Yarrowia lipolytica: one gene and its partner. The protein of the gene in region 2 interacts with the protein of the main gene of each other region in a pairwise test. Links are inferred from orthologs where the notes say so. Each region holds a gene or a part of one and is shown on either strand. Other genes may lie near its edges.

The links. The genes of interacting proteins can lie anywhere in the genome.
Region 1: the proteins of YALI1_B18451g (region 2) and YALI1_E22029g interact in a protein complementation assay, tested with the Saccharomyces cerevisiae proteins (2 studies listed by BioGRID). The link is inferred for Yarrowia lipolytica from reciprocal best matches to the Saccharomyces cerevisiae genes SLH1 and RQT4.

Annotation. Positions count from the first base shown.
Region 1 is NC_090774.1:2,201,049-2,204,896, forward strand, and holds YALI1_E22029g (uncharacterized protein), read right to left. Parts: upstream 1,906-3,848; coding exon 538-1,905; downstream 1-537. Other genes in the region: YALI1_E22004g (uncharacterized protein), read left to right, coding at 1-422; YALI1_E22041g (uncharacterized protein), read right to left, coding at 2,213-3,121.
Region 2 is NC_090771.1:1,839,524-1,847,106, forward strand, and holds YALI1_B18451g (uncharacterized protein), read right to left. Parts: upstream 6,052-7,583; coding exon 5,662-6,051; intron 5,615-5,661; coding exon 314-5,614; downstream 1-313. Other genes in the region: YALI1_B18391g (uncharacterized protein), read left to right, coding at 1-284; YALI1_B18460g (uncharacterized protein), read left to right, coding at 6,511-7,233; YALI1_B18472g (uncharacterized protein), read right to left, coding at 7,361-7,583. UniProt on the Saccharomyces cerevisiae protein: Involved in activation of the ribosome quality control (RQC) pathway, a pathway that degrades nascent peptide chains during problematic translation.

The sequences.
Region 1 (3,848 bases), on a different chromosome or scaffold from region 2:
CGTTCATAGCCACCACCCAGACCCTGCAGTACGAAGATCTTGTGTTCATGGAAAAGTGCTTCCAACGCACGCTGCTGGAGTTTGAAAAGTACATTTCGTTAAGTGGAACGCCCACGGTGCTCTGGAGACGAACCGGCCAGATAGCTGCCGTTGGAAAGGAGTTTTGTGTGCTGACGATGCGATCGCAGGCAGATTTGCTGAGTCAGTTCATCATCGAGTGCATGGACAACAAGTCTGTGGTACAGTACTTTGACGTCTTCTCCGAGCTGGCGTTTGGAGACAGCAGAGGCACGATTACCACCACGTTTGGCCTCACCAAACCCTCAGGCGAGGTGGTCAACACGGCGTGTTCGCTGACCATCAAACGAGACGTGTTTGACATTCCCATGATGATTGTCGGCAACTTTCTGCCTATTCTGTAGGCGCCATGTAATTATTTATTCTGAACGAAAACAAGAGAGCAATTACTTGTATAACTAACACTTTGTAGATATTACCTGAATATGAATGATATAGATTACGAGTATTTACCTATCCCTACAACCGCATGAGCCGCTCTTCATCATCCTCACCGTCAATGTCAATAATGCCCCTCTCCTCAACCCGTCGCTCCTGAACATCTCCTCTAGACACGTACTTGACGCGCTTCAACTTGGAGTCAGCCATGGCCGGGTTCCACACGTTCTGCGAGTTCAGCTCCGCCACCTCTTGCTTTTCAGACTTGATCTTGGACTCAAGTTCTCTCAACTCCTCGTCATCTGTGCTATCGTCCTCCATTTCCTGCTCTCGGATCTTGCCATCCAGACCCAGCGAAATGACATGCTTCTTGCCCTTTTTCCGAGCGTCTCGTTCCTCCATCTTGGCCATTTGCCGCTGCTGCTTCTTGAGCTGCAACGCCCTCTCTGTCGCCGAAGCCCACTGGTTGACACCTGCCGAGGGCAGTTCAAAGTCGCCCACGTTGTCGATGATCCGGGTTCTCTCCGCCTGACTGTCCTGGAACGCCATCAGGGTGTCAAGCCGCTCCTTGGCCTGCTGAAGCTCCTTCTCCTTGGCCTCCTGCGCCTGCCGGTTCTCCTCCTCCATCTGTTTGATGGCCTCTTCCTGCGCAGCCCGCCCCCCAGCATTAGATAAGTTGTACTTGATGGCCTTTTGTTTCTTTTTGGGCACCGCCTGTTTGGGGGCGTTCACAGACCGAATGTCCTCCTTTTGTTGGTACAAAACCGACGAAATTTCATTGCGCTCCTCCGCACTCAACAGAGGAGTGCCACAGAATGTGCACGGCCCTAGCCCTTCCTTCAGGCAATGGATCTTGCCACAGTTCATGCAGTTGGGGGCAACCTCCAGCAACGGGTGTCGGGAAGCCATGCAGTCGCATTTTGCGCGCGCCGTGGTGCCGTCTTTGCGCACATCTCCATGTTCCACCAGCTCCAGGTCCCGTAATGCCTGGTCGATTTCGGCAATCGAATCCACCTTGATTTTGTTTTTGGCCTTGGTCTTGGGCTTGAGATCCAGCAGTTCGGAAGTTGTTGCTCCGCCCTTACCCACGCCGGCCAGCCGGTTGCGAGGTGTCTTTTCCTTCTTCTGTTTCTCCTCCTCCACCTTTTCTCCTGCCGTTCTGGTGGCCCACGATGCCTTCTTCTTGGGGGGCTCGCTCTTGGCCATTTTTTCAGCCTTGGACTTCTCCAGCTTCTTGGACGAGAACCGCTTGCGGTTGAACTCCTCCACAAACCGGAACACCGGCTCAGACTCGCCCAGAAGCTCCACAAAGTAGCTGTGCACCTCCAGAGGATCGGTTTTCTTCATGCCCTGATCCACCAGCTGGGCGACGGTCTCCTTGTCGAACCCGCCGAGCAACCGGCCAACCATGTCCTTGGCGTACTCTTCGGTCACTGTGTATTTTTCCATATCGTTTGAATGAAGGAATTAGGAGGTTGCTGGGATCAAGTCGTACCAAATGCTGGTGATAAGCATGCATGACCAGGCAAACTGCACGTGATTTGATAAAAGAAAACAAAAAAAAATATACAAAAAAATACGTAAAAAATTGAATATAATGTAGGAGGATGGGAAAATGATATCAAAGTGGTCAGAATAGTTGATTCTTTCCGAATTTATACTCGACGATACTTTTATAGAAATACTCATACTCTCACGCTCAAATGTCTAGTAAAATCAATTCTATGTCTATGTCTAATAAATAATGTGGCACCTTCTAACAGAAATCAAAGTCGGGGAAACCGAGATCAACTCCCCACTTGGGCTTGGAAGTTCGGTGGATACCCTCGGTCTTGTGCAGATCGTTGAGAGCCTGCAGGTCTTCCTTGGACAGGTTGACGGCGGACTTACCGTTCTCGATGATTCGAGAGTTGGTGACGGACTTGGGAATGACAACAGTGCCGTTACCAATGTGGTAGGAAGTGAGAATACCGCCGGGAGAGGTCTCGTACTTATCGGCGAGCTTGAGAACCAGCTCGTTCTTGAGCAGAGGGCCTCCGACAGATCCGAAAGGAGAGAAGGCAGTCATGATGATGTTGTTCTTCTTGCAGAACTCCATGAGCTCGAGCTGGGGCAGCAGAGGGTGCAGCTCGACCTGGTTGACAGCGGGGACCACCTCGGCCTCCTTGAGCAGCTCCTCCAGGTAGGGAATGGAGAAGTTGGAGACTCCGATGGACTTGGTCTTGCCGGTCTTCAGAACGGCCTCCATCTGCTTCCAGGTCTTAGGCTGCGAGCCGGACTCGTCAATGTCTCGAGATCCGTCCGGTCGCAGAGGGTAGACGGGGTCGTTTCCGTTGGGGTTGAGGGGCACCGGCCAGTGGATGAGCAGCATGTCGACGTAATCGAGACCCAGTCGCTCCAGCGACAGATCCAGGTTCTCCTCGACTCGGTCATGGTAAGTGACCCAAATCTTGGTGGTGACAAAGATGTCCTCTCGCTTGACACCCTTTTCCATGGCCCGCTTGATACCGAGACCGACCGCGTCCTCGTTTCGGTAGTTGAAGGCGGTGTCAATATGTCGGTAACCTCCCTCGGTGAGAGCGCACTCGACAGCTCCGGCAACCTCCTCGGTGGTCGACTTCCACGTTCCCAGACCGATGGCAGGGATAGTCTTGCCGTTGTTCATAGTGAAGTCGATAGAAGTCCCATTGTGTGTGTTGTGTGTGTGTGTGTGTGTGTGTGTGTGTGTGTCAATTGGTGTTTGATGCAGACTCCAGGGGGGATCAACCACCTATATATATACACATTCGGCAACGCTCTCGGATCATTCTGCTCGTAGATTCTTCCGGACCTTGAGTATATCCAGCTTGGAGGTTTCGTGTGACGTAATGGTGTGCTTGGTGGACGCAGGCATCTGCAGTTTTCGGTGGTGCGAAATGACGTACATTTTTGTCCCTCTGAAAACTTGACGCACATTTCTGGCCCTGGCCGGCAGAAAAGATCACCACTTGACGTCATAGCAAGCGGCATTTTCTACATGTTTTGCGAGCGAATTTTGTAGAAAAATCAAATCGAAACAAGAACCGAGCGGTCCGAGTGCAAACGAGAGCAACAGCAAATGTATTCGTCCAGATGATGTAATCAATAATTAGACTGTACAAAGTCCGGAAAATGTGCACTAAAATACAGAGAGTAACACCGGAGGAGTACCACGAAAAGGACGCACCGTGTTTGGATATCAGCCTACACTTTCCTTCAGTAGATGCCCAATATTTAATGAATCTGTTGAATGTCTTAATAATCTATTAAATTCGATTTTTAATCTCTCCAAATCCACAATTTTTATTTATCTTATTTATTTTATTCTAATCAATTTATTTTATGTTCTAATTTTACATTTCTAGGAAAATACT
Region 2 (7,583 bases):
TGCGATACCCCCGAAACCTCCTTGCACGAGCAGTCAGTCGCAATTTGACTATTTTCATGGCTTGGTGGCTCTACAAGATACCTGGAGCGTACTCCATGCCTACAGATCTACTGGCAACAACCTTAGCCCGTCTACTTACCGTCTATCTCCAACTTCAATATTATAGGATGATAGGGGCCGCTCAAGTTCACATGGTTGACCAGTTGAAAGCACATTTTTACCAAGTGTTGGGCTTGCGAGATTTGGATGTGTCTACAAAAGACACCGTAGATACAAATACTTAATACACATGCATTCGCTTCTCTAATTACATCTAAACCTGGACCTCAATGTCATAAGATAAATCAAGAGCATCGTTGATGCACTCGAGAATCAGATTTTTGGTCTCGTATCCAGGAGGAATCTTGAGCTCGGTATGCATGGGCTTGCCAGGCTGAGGAGACACTCGCTTGATTCCAAGCAGATCTTCGCCACAGCTAAGAATAACAAACCATGACTCCTTCTGGGGTTTATGGAACTTGGGGCAGGGCATTCGGAAGTCAGCGTGAAGGGGCTTGTTCTTGTGAGTCATGGTCACTGTCATCTTGTCATCAACACGCAAGTAGTCAATGTCCACAACAGGCAGGGAAGAAGCCACCCGAACGAAATCGTTGATGTTTCGGCATCCAAATTTCTGAGCAGCAGTCTTGATCTTTTCAGGAGACATGTTACCGAGAGTATCGAGGGTGATCTCGTCGCGCTCCTCAAACTTGGTGATGGCTCGATCCTGAGGCTTCATTCCAGGAAGTAGCGTAACAGGATCAGCATCAGGCCAGGCACCCTGCTTGATGCACTGCATGACTGTAATGGCTGTCTTGACGGCAAAGAGCAGACCCAGCTCAGCAACAGTATCAACAGCAGCCTGCAGGATACGCAAAGTCTGGTCCAGAACGGATACAGTATCCTGAATGTAATCGGTGATGGGCAGCTTGACACGAGACATGTACGCCTGCAGAAGCAGGAAGACTTTCACATGAGGATCCCACATGACCAAATCCATGGACTCTCCGGAGTACCGCATCTCCTTGGACAACTCAGCGTTGACAAGATCTTCATTGTGTCTGACAGGAAGGAGATCGTACTCGGTAGCCTTGGACACCCAAACCAGAGCATCTCGAAAAGTGGAGTCGTTGGAAGCATCAGAAATGATGAACCGCACGGTTTTGTGAGACAGGTAGTAGTACGAAGAGATTCGCAAAAAGGAGGTAGCAGAAAGAGTACCGTCAGCATGAAGTTGCAGACAGGACGACTCAGAAAGAGCATCCAGAGAGTCATCAATGAGATCTGAAAGATATTCACCAACTGCTTCGGGAGTCTGCTCCTGAATACCGTAGTAGGTGGGGTTCGAGTACACTCGTCGGTACAAAAAGGTCCACGACAAAAAGTCCATGGCATCCTGTCGAGACTTTATTGACCCAGTGACAATCTCAGCACCAAGATGGTCCTCCAGGGCCTTGTGAAGCTGCGACTCGACGGGGAAACCAACGTTCAAGAAGTTTTTGTAGAAGGCCTTCTTGCTTTCCTTTGTGTAAACCATTGCAATACCGTTGGTATCGAATCCAGGACGTCCGGCTCGACCCATCATCTGCAGAATGTCGGTCAGGTCCATATCTCGGTAGGCCTCAATCTTGGCGTCGTAGAACTGAGTGCCCTTGATGACAACCAGGTGAGCTGGCAAGTTGACACCCCATGCAAGAGTTGACGTGGCAATGAGAATCTGAATTCGGTTGGCAGCAAACAGCTCGTGAGAAATTCGACGATCACTCTCAACCAGGCCAGCATGATGCAGACCAATACCAAACTGAAGCGACAGCTTGAGAGTCTCGTCTTTGACCTGCAGAAGAATGGCTTGCAGCTCATCTTCGTCCATGCTGAGGAACCGTCGAGGATTGTCTTCGAGACCACACAGGTGAATGAGATCAAGAGAAGTAAGTCGGGTCTGACGTCGAGAAGCGACGAAAATCAATACAGGCTTGGTGGGTGAGTGACTCTTGATGGCCATGAATGCGGGCTTGTTCATTGTCTTCATCAGAGGACAGAAACCGACATTGTCAGGGAAACCGTCAATGTACATCTGCAGGGGAACGGGACGAACGGCAGGGGGGAAGTTGAACAGACCCTCCTTGACTCCCAGCCACCCAGCCATATCCGTGGTGTTAGACACGGCTGTAGAGAGACCCAAAAGTCGCACCTTTCGACCTGTCTGGCCTCCAACATAGTTCATTCGAGACACAATCATCTCCAGAATGGGGCCTCGGTCGGAAGCAAGCAAATGGATCTCATCCATAATGACCAGGGACACGCCCTGGACGAACTTTCGAGTTTTCCAGTTTCGCGAGATACCATCAAACTTCTCGGGTGTCGTAATGATGATGTCAGCACGTCGAACCTCTCCTGCATCTGGGTTGGAATCACCAGTCAACTCGACGATTCGCTTGAAACCCTTGAGTCGCTTACCCCAGTCCTCAACTCGCTCTCGAACAAGAGCCTTCATAGGAGCAATGTAGACGACCTTGGAGCCCGGGTTGTCTCTGAAGGCAGCCCACATGGCCAGCTCACAGGCAACAGTCTTTCCGGAACCGGTGGGAGAACCCAGGAAGACGTTGGTATCCATGTGGTAGAGACAGTGGAAACACATTGTCTGCATGGGGTTGAAGAACTGAAACTTCTTGGCGTAGATGTTCTCAATGATGGGGTTTCGGAGAGCTTCGATAGGCAGAGGACGCAGACGAAGTAGCTTGGTGTGTATGGTTTCGTGATCAGGCATAATGAGGTGCTTGAAAGACACTGTTTGTACCGTCTCGACGTGAGCCCAGTGGTCTGAAACCAATCGCACAACAATCTGAGAAGGAATTGGCTGCGATATGGGGATGGTGAAGTCAATGTTATGAACATCATGCAGCTTTCGCTTGCTCAACATGAACTTCTCAACATGCGAAATGTGAGCATTATCGGACGACTCAACCCAAAGCCAGAAATGTTGCACCTTTCCGTGGTACTTTTCGTCCCAGTGGAAATCGGCCCAAATGTCGAGATGCACACGGAGTACTGACTTTGTAATAGGTGCAATGTCCGCTTCCATCATCATGTAGGGGAATCTGTCCACAAACCGATACAACTTGGAGGCCATAGAATGGTTGTGAACGAGATCACCCATCTCCTTGGCGGTCATATCTCGCAGATCATCAATCGAAGGGTCTTTGGCGTCCAGAATTCGCATTATGTGATCAGGAAGCTCAAACTGGTGCAAGGGATGAGCAAAAGGCCATAGTCGCTGGTCAATGGCCTTGCACATAGACAAGAGCGAGTAAGCAAGGTTACCCCATCGTCTGTTGAGAGCCAGAGAGAATAGAGCACGGGCGATACGAGATGCATTCTGAGCGACATAGCCCATGTCCGAGATCAGAGACGACTCCTTGAACTGGTATCGAGAAATGTAAGCCTGCAGCACCAGGTTAGTCTTACCCTGAGTGGTGGTAAGTGCTCCGTAAGGCTGGCAGGGCATATCGTCCGAGTTCTGGAACTTCTCAAGCTCCTCCATCTCCTCGGGGCGACCCTTGAGACCATCAAACTCGCCAGACATTGACAGTAGGGCCAAAACATCAGCTTCGGATGCGTCGGGCTTCATCATGGTATTAAAAATCTCAATCGAGTTGTTGAGCAGGTAGAAGTCTGATGCAACTCGACCACTATCTTTGCTGACGAAAGAACCCACTCGCTCATCAAACACAATCATTTGAAGGGTATGCAGTCGCTGAGCGGCTGCCACGATTAGCTTTCGACGGTGACCTCCAAGCATTGGGTCATCCTGGACGTCAGCCCAAGTGAGACCATAAGCAAGAGGGTTCTTTCGCATTCGCACAAAGAGATAGGTGTAACCCAGCCAGGCAACACCCTCATCCACATTGGTGACTGTTCCGAGCGATATCTCGGCGTTCAGGTTGTCGACAATTTGATCCTGCAGCTTGGATTCAATGGGATGCTGTTCAGTAACTGCGGAGATGAAATGCGACAATCTGTCCAGAGAAGTAAGCAGGATACCAGTACCAAACTTTTCAAACTGAGGACGGCCAGCTCGACCAAAAATCTGAATGACATCGGAAATACCGAGATCAGTGAACCCTCCTTTCTTCGCCTCGTAGACCTGAGTGCCCTTGATAATGACCACGGCTGCAGGCAAATTGACACCCCAGGCAAGAGTGGCAGTACAGCAGAGAACCTTGATGAGACCATCTGCGAACAGCTTCTCAGTCAGGTTACGGTCTGACCGCAACATACCAGCATGATGTATACCGAAACCGTGCTGGAAAAGTTCTCGGACCTCCTTGTTCTTGGCCTTCATAACGTCCTTGGTGTACAGACCGTAGTTAGGATCGGTCGCGCACGAGAAGATTTCTGACTCACCATTGGCCTGGGCAGCTTGAACGAACTTCATGGCCGACTTGGCTGTATCCTTCCTACTATGGACAAAAACCATGACCTGGTGTCCCCCCTGTCCGACTTCTTGGACAAGCTTTTCGTAGGCAATCTCGTCGATGTTTTCTCGGGACTCATTTGAGCCCTGCTTTCCTCGAACACCAATGAAATGCTGCTCGAGAGGCACAGGTCGGAAGGAGGAGTCGAAGAAAAACATACCAATCTCGGGGTTGACGCGCAGAAACTGAGCAACATCAATGAAATTGGGCAGAGTAGCAGACAGACCAACAATTCGAATTAACGACTGGGTTGACTCAACTTGTCGAAGTGTTCGGGCCACGAGAGACTCGATAACAGCACCTCGATCTTCATGCAGAAGATGTACCTCGTCGATAATCAGCAGCTTGACCTTTGTAACTAGCTCATTGTCACCGGTGGATTTCCGGGTTACCACATCCCACTTCTCAGGAGTGGTGACAATGACCTGAGTGGCCATAATCTCAGCCTTGGTCAACTGCATATCTCCGGTCAACTCTCGAACACTGATACCCAGCCAAGCCAAACGTTTACCAAGTTTGACGACAATCTCAGCAGCCAGAGCCTTCAAAGGGGCTACATAGACAATCTTGAAATCGTTGTAATGCACAGTCACGTCTCCCTCGGGACTGATATCGGAGAATTGGTTGATGGTACTCAGGACCGTCAGCATAGCCACATCGGTCTTACCAGCACCTGTGGGAGCGCAGACAAGCATGTTTTCACTAGTGTTGTATGCAACTGGATACACCAGCGACTGAATCTGGTTAAGTGACTTGTAGGCCTTGAAAGCTCCTCTGCAAATGATATCCAGGTCCTTGAGAGGAATGAAGTTTGACTCGATGAGCACGGGTCGCTTCTTGGGGTACGGGACAATAATCTCCTCATGTTTATTGAACACCAGCTTCTCGCTTCCCACAGGAAGACCGTACTTCTTACCCAAACTAGAAAGCACATTTCCTCCATCTCCAGACATGTAGACGTTGGGATATTTCTTCTGTGTGGGCACTGGGTTGTCGGGCAGCGCCTTGGCACGAGCACGATTGTCTCGGAGCTGCTGTGCCTTTTGTTCGGGTGTCATTAGCGAGTAGCCATTGGGCAGGGCTGCCGCAGCTGATATTTTCTGGGTTAGCTAGTAGTAAGACATCAAAAAAGTTCGTTCATACTTACCAAATCATTTCTCTTCTCAAGTAGTTCAATCACAAAGTCGACATCGTCATAGCCAACCTCTTCCAGCAGTTGCATCTGTAGTTCATCAGAGCTCCTGTTACTTTGTAACATATCCAAGATGGCTGCCTCGAACTGCTCGGGGGTGTCGCTTCGACCGTTCTTTCGGTGTACCTCAACGCACTTGCTTGTCAGCCACTCAAATGCCGCATTGTTGTATTCTCCATCGTCAGAAGAAGGGTCCTCAAAGAATTCGAGATGCTCCATCAGAGGAATGTCCATATCGGGGGCATCTAGCTGGTTGAACTTGTCGAAGCCTGAGTAGACCTCGTCTTGGGGCTCTAGCTCCTGCGCTAGTTGCGCGAACTGCTCGTATTCAGTAAGATCCAACATTGGTTGTTTAGTCAGATCGCCAGATCAGGATGAAGATGTAAGCAAGAGACTTGGACCAGGGACATTAGGTTCATGCAAGTGTGACAGCCGATGATGAAAAGGCTCCAGAGTTTCTGCATTGGGTTGTTTAGAAGTACTGGGGATGTGGAAGTATATTGATTTCATTCATATCACTACTTGTGAGCAGTATATATTATAGTCGTCATTTTCCCTCTGGCTATCTTCAACTGCATCTTGTACTGGGTCCTTCACTAGTACGTGTTTCTCTACTTGAGGAATCTTAAATGTTACTTAATATATTGCTGGTGGATTGGTATCTTCCTCACAAAATCCAACTAGAACCCAACAATTAGGCTATCCACACTTCCAACAAGTAACTAAAACCAACTCAAAACGGAACTCACCTCCTAACTGACTGAGCTAAAACAACGTGCAACATCATCACCACTACGCACACCGATGACGGAAATTATTGCGCCATTACGATTCGGCACCGTCCAGCCCCATCTTTACCGCGGCTCTTATCCCCGGAAACAAAATTTACGCTTCCTGCAGCGTTTACGACTCAAAACCATTGTTTCTCTGACACCGAAACCCATAGAGGGTCCGTTTGCGCAATGGGCCGAAGACAATGATATCACCGTGATCCACATTCCCGCAGCGCCCGAAGGAAAGGCTTACAAGTCACTGTTTGAGGATCCCGAGACACAAGCCAAGGAAAAGGAGAAGAAGAAGACGGAGAAGAAAGAAGCGCGAAAGACAAAAAAGAAGACCAGAACGCTGCCTATCAACTACGAGGTGGCCATTGAGGCTATTGGATACATGATGGACGCTGACTGTCAGCCCACATATATTCACTGTCTGAACGGCTCGGAAGTGACGTCGCTGGTGGTGGCGTGTCTGCGAAAACTGTCGTTTTGGTCGTCTGTTTCAATCACAGGCGAGTATGTTGGGTTTGCACAGCTCACAGCGACCGCAGACCGGTTCATTGAGGATTTCAAGGCCGAAATTGAAATTCCAGCTAGCCCGGTGCCCTGGATGTGGAGAGGTCTGTCTATTGGAGTGGTCAAGCGGCATCCCACACTGAAGATTGTCGATAGTGAAGATAAGGACGAAGGGTTCCCTAAAGACGGGTTTGAGAGCGAAGCTGCAGCCATTCAGGCCGTTTCTGCTCTACCATAGCCAAGCTACAACTGTACCATATTACCATATACTATAATTTATTCTATTTACCGTTACAGTAGACTGATTGCGAGATAGAGTACATTCCTCCCGTAGTCAATCCACGTATTCTTCACCAAGACATCAGCTACTGTCCATCGTTAAGATCGTCTCGGGCCTCTCGACCGTCTCGGCGGAATCCGAACCAGACAGCAGCCACAAATAGCAGACTGCCGGCCAGAAGAGCCCCTCCAACTCGAGGGTTGATGTAGATCTTAAGACCAGCCAGAACCACAAGGAAACAGGCGAGAATCATCTGGGTGAGGATCTTAAAGGAGGTGGAGATACCTAGAATGTACCAGATGGCGATA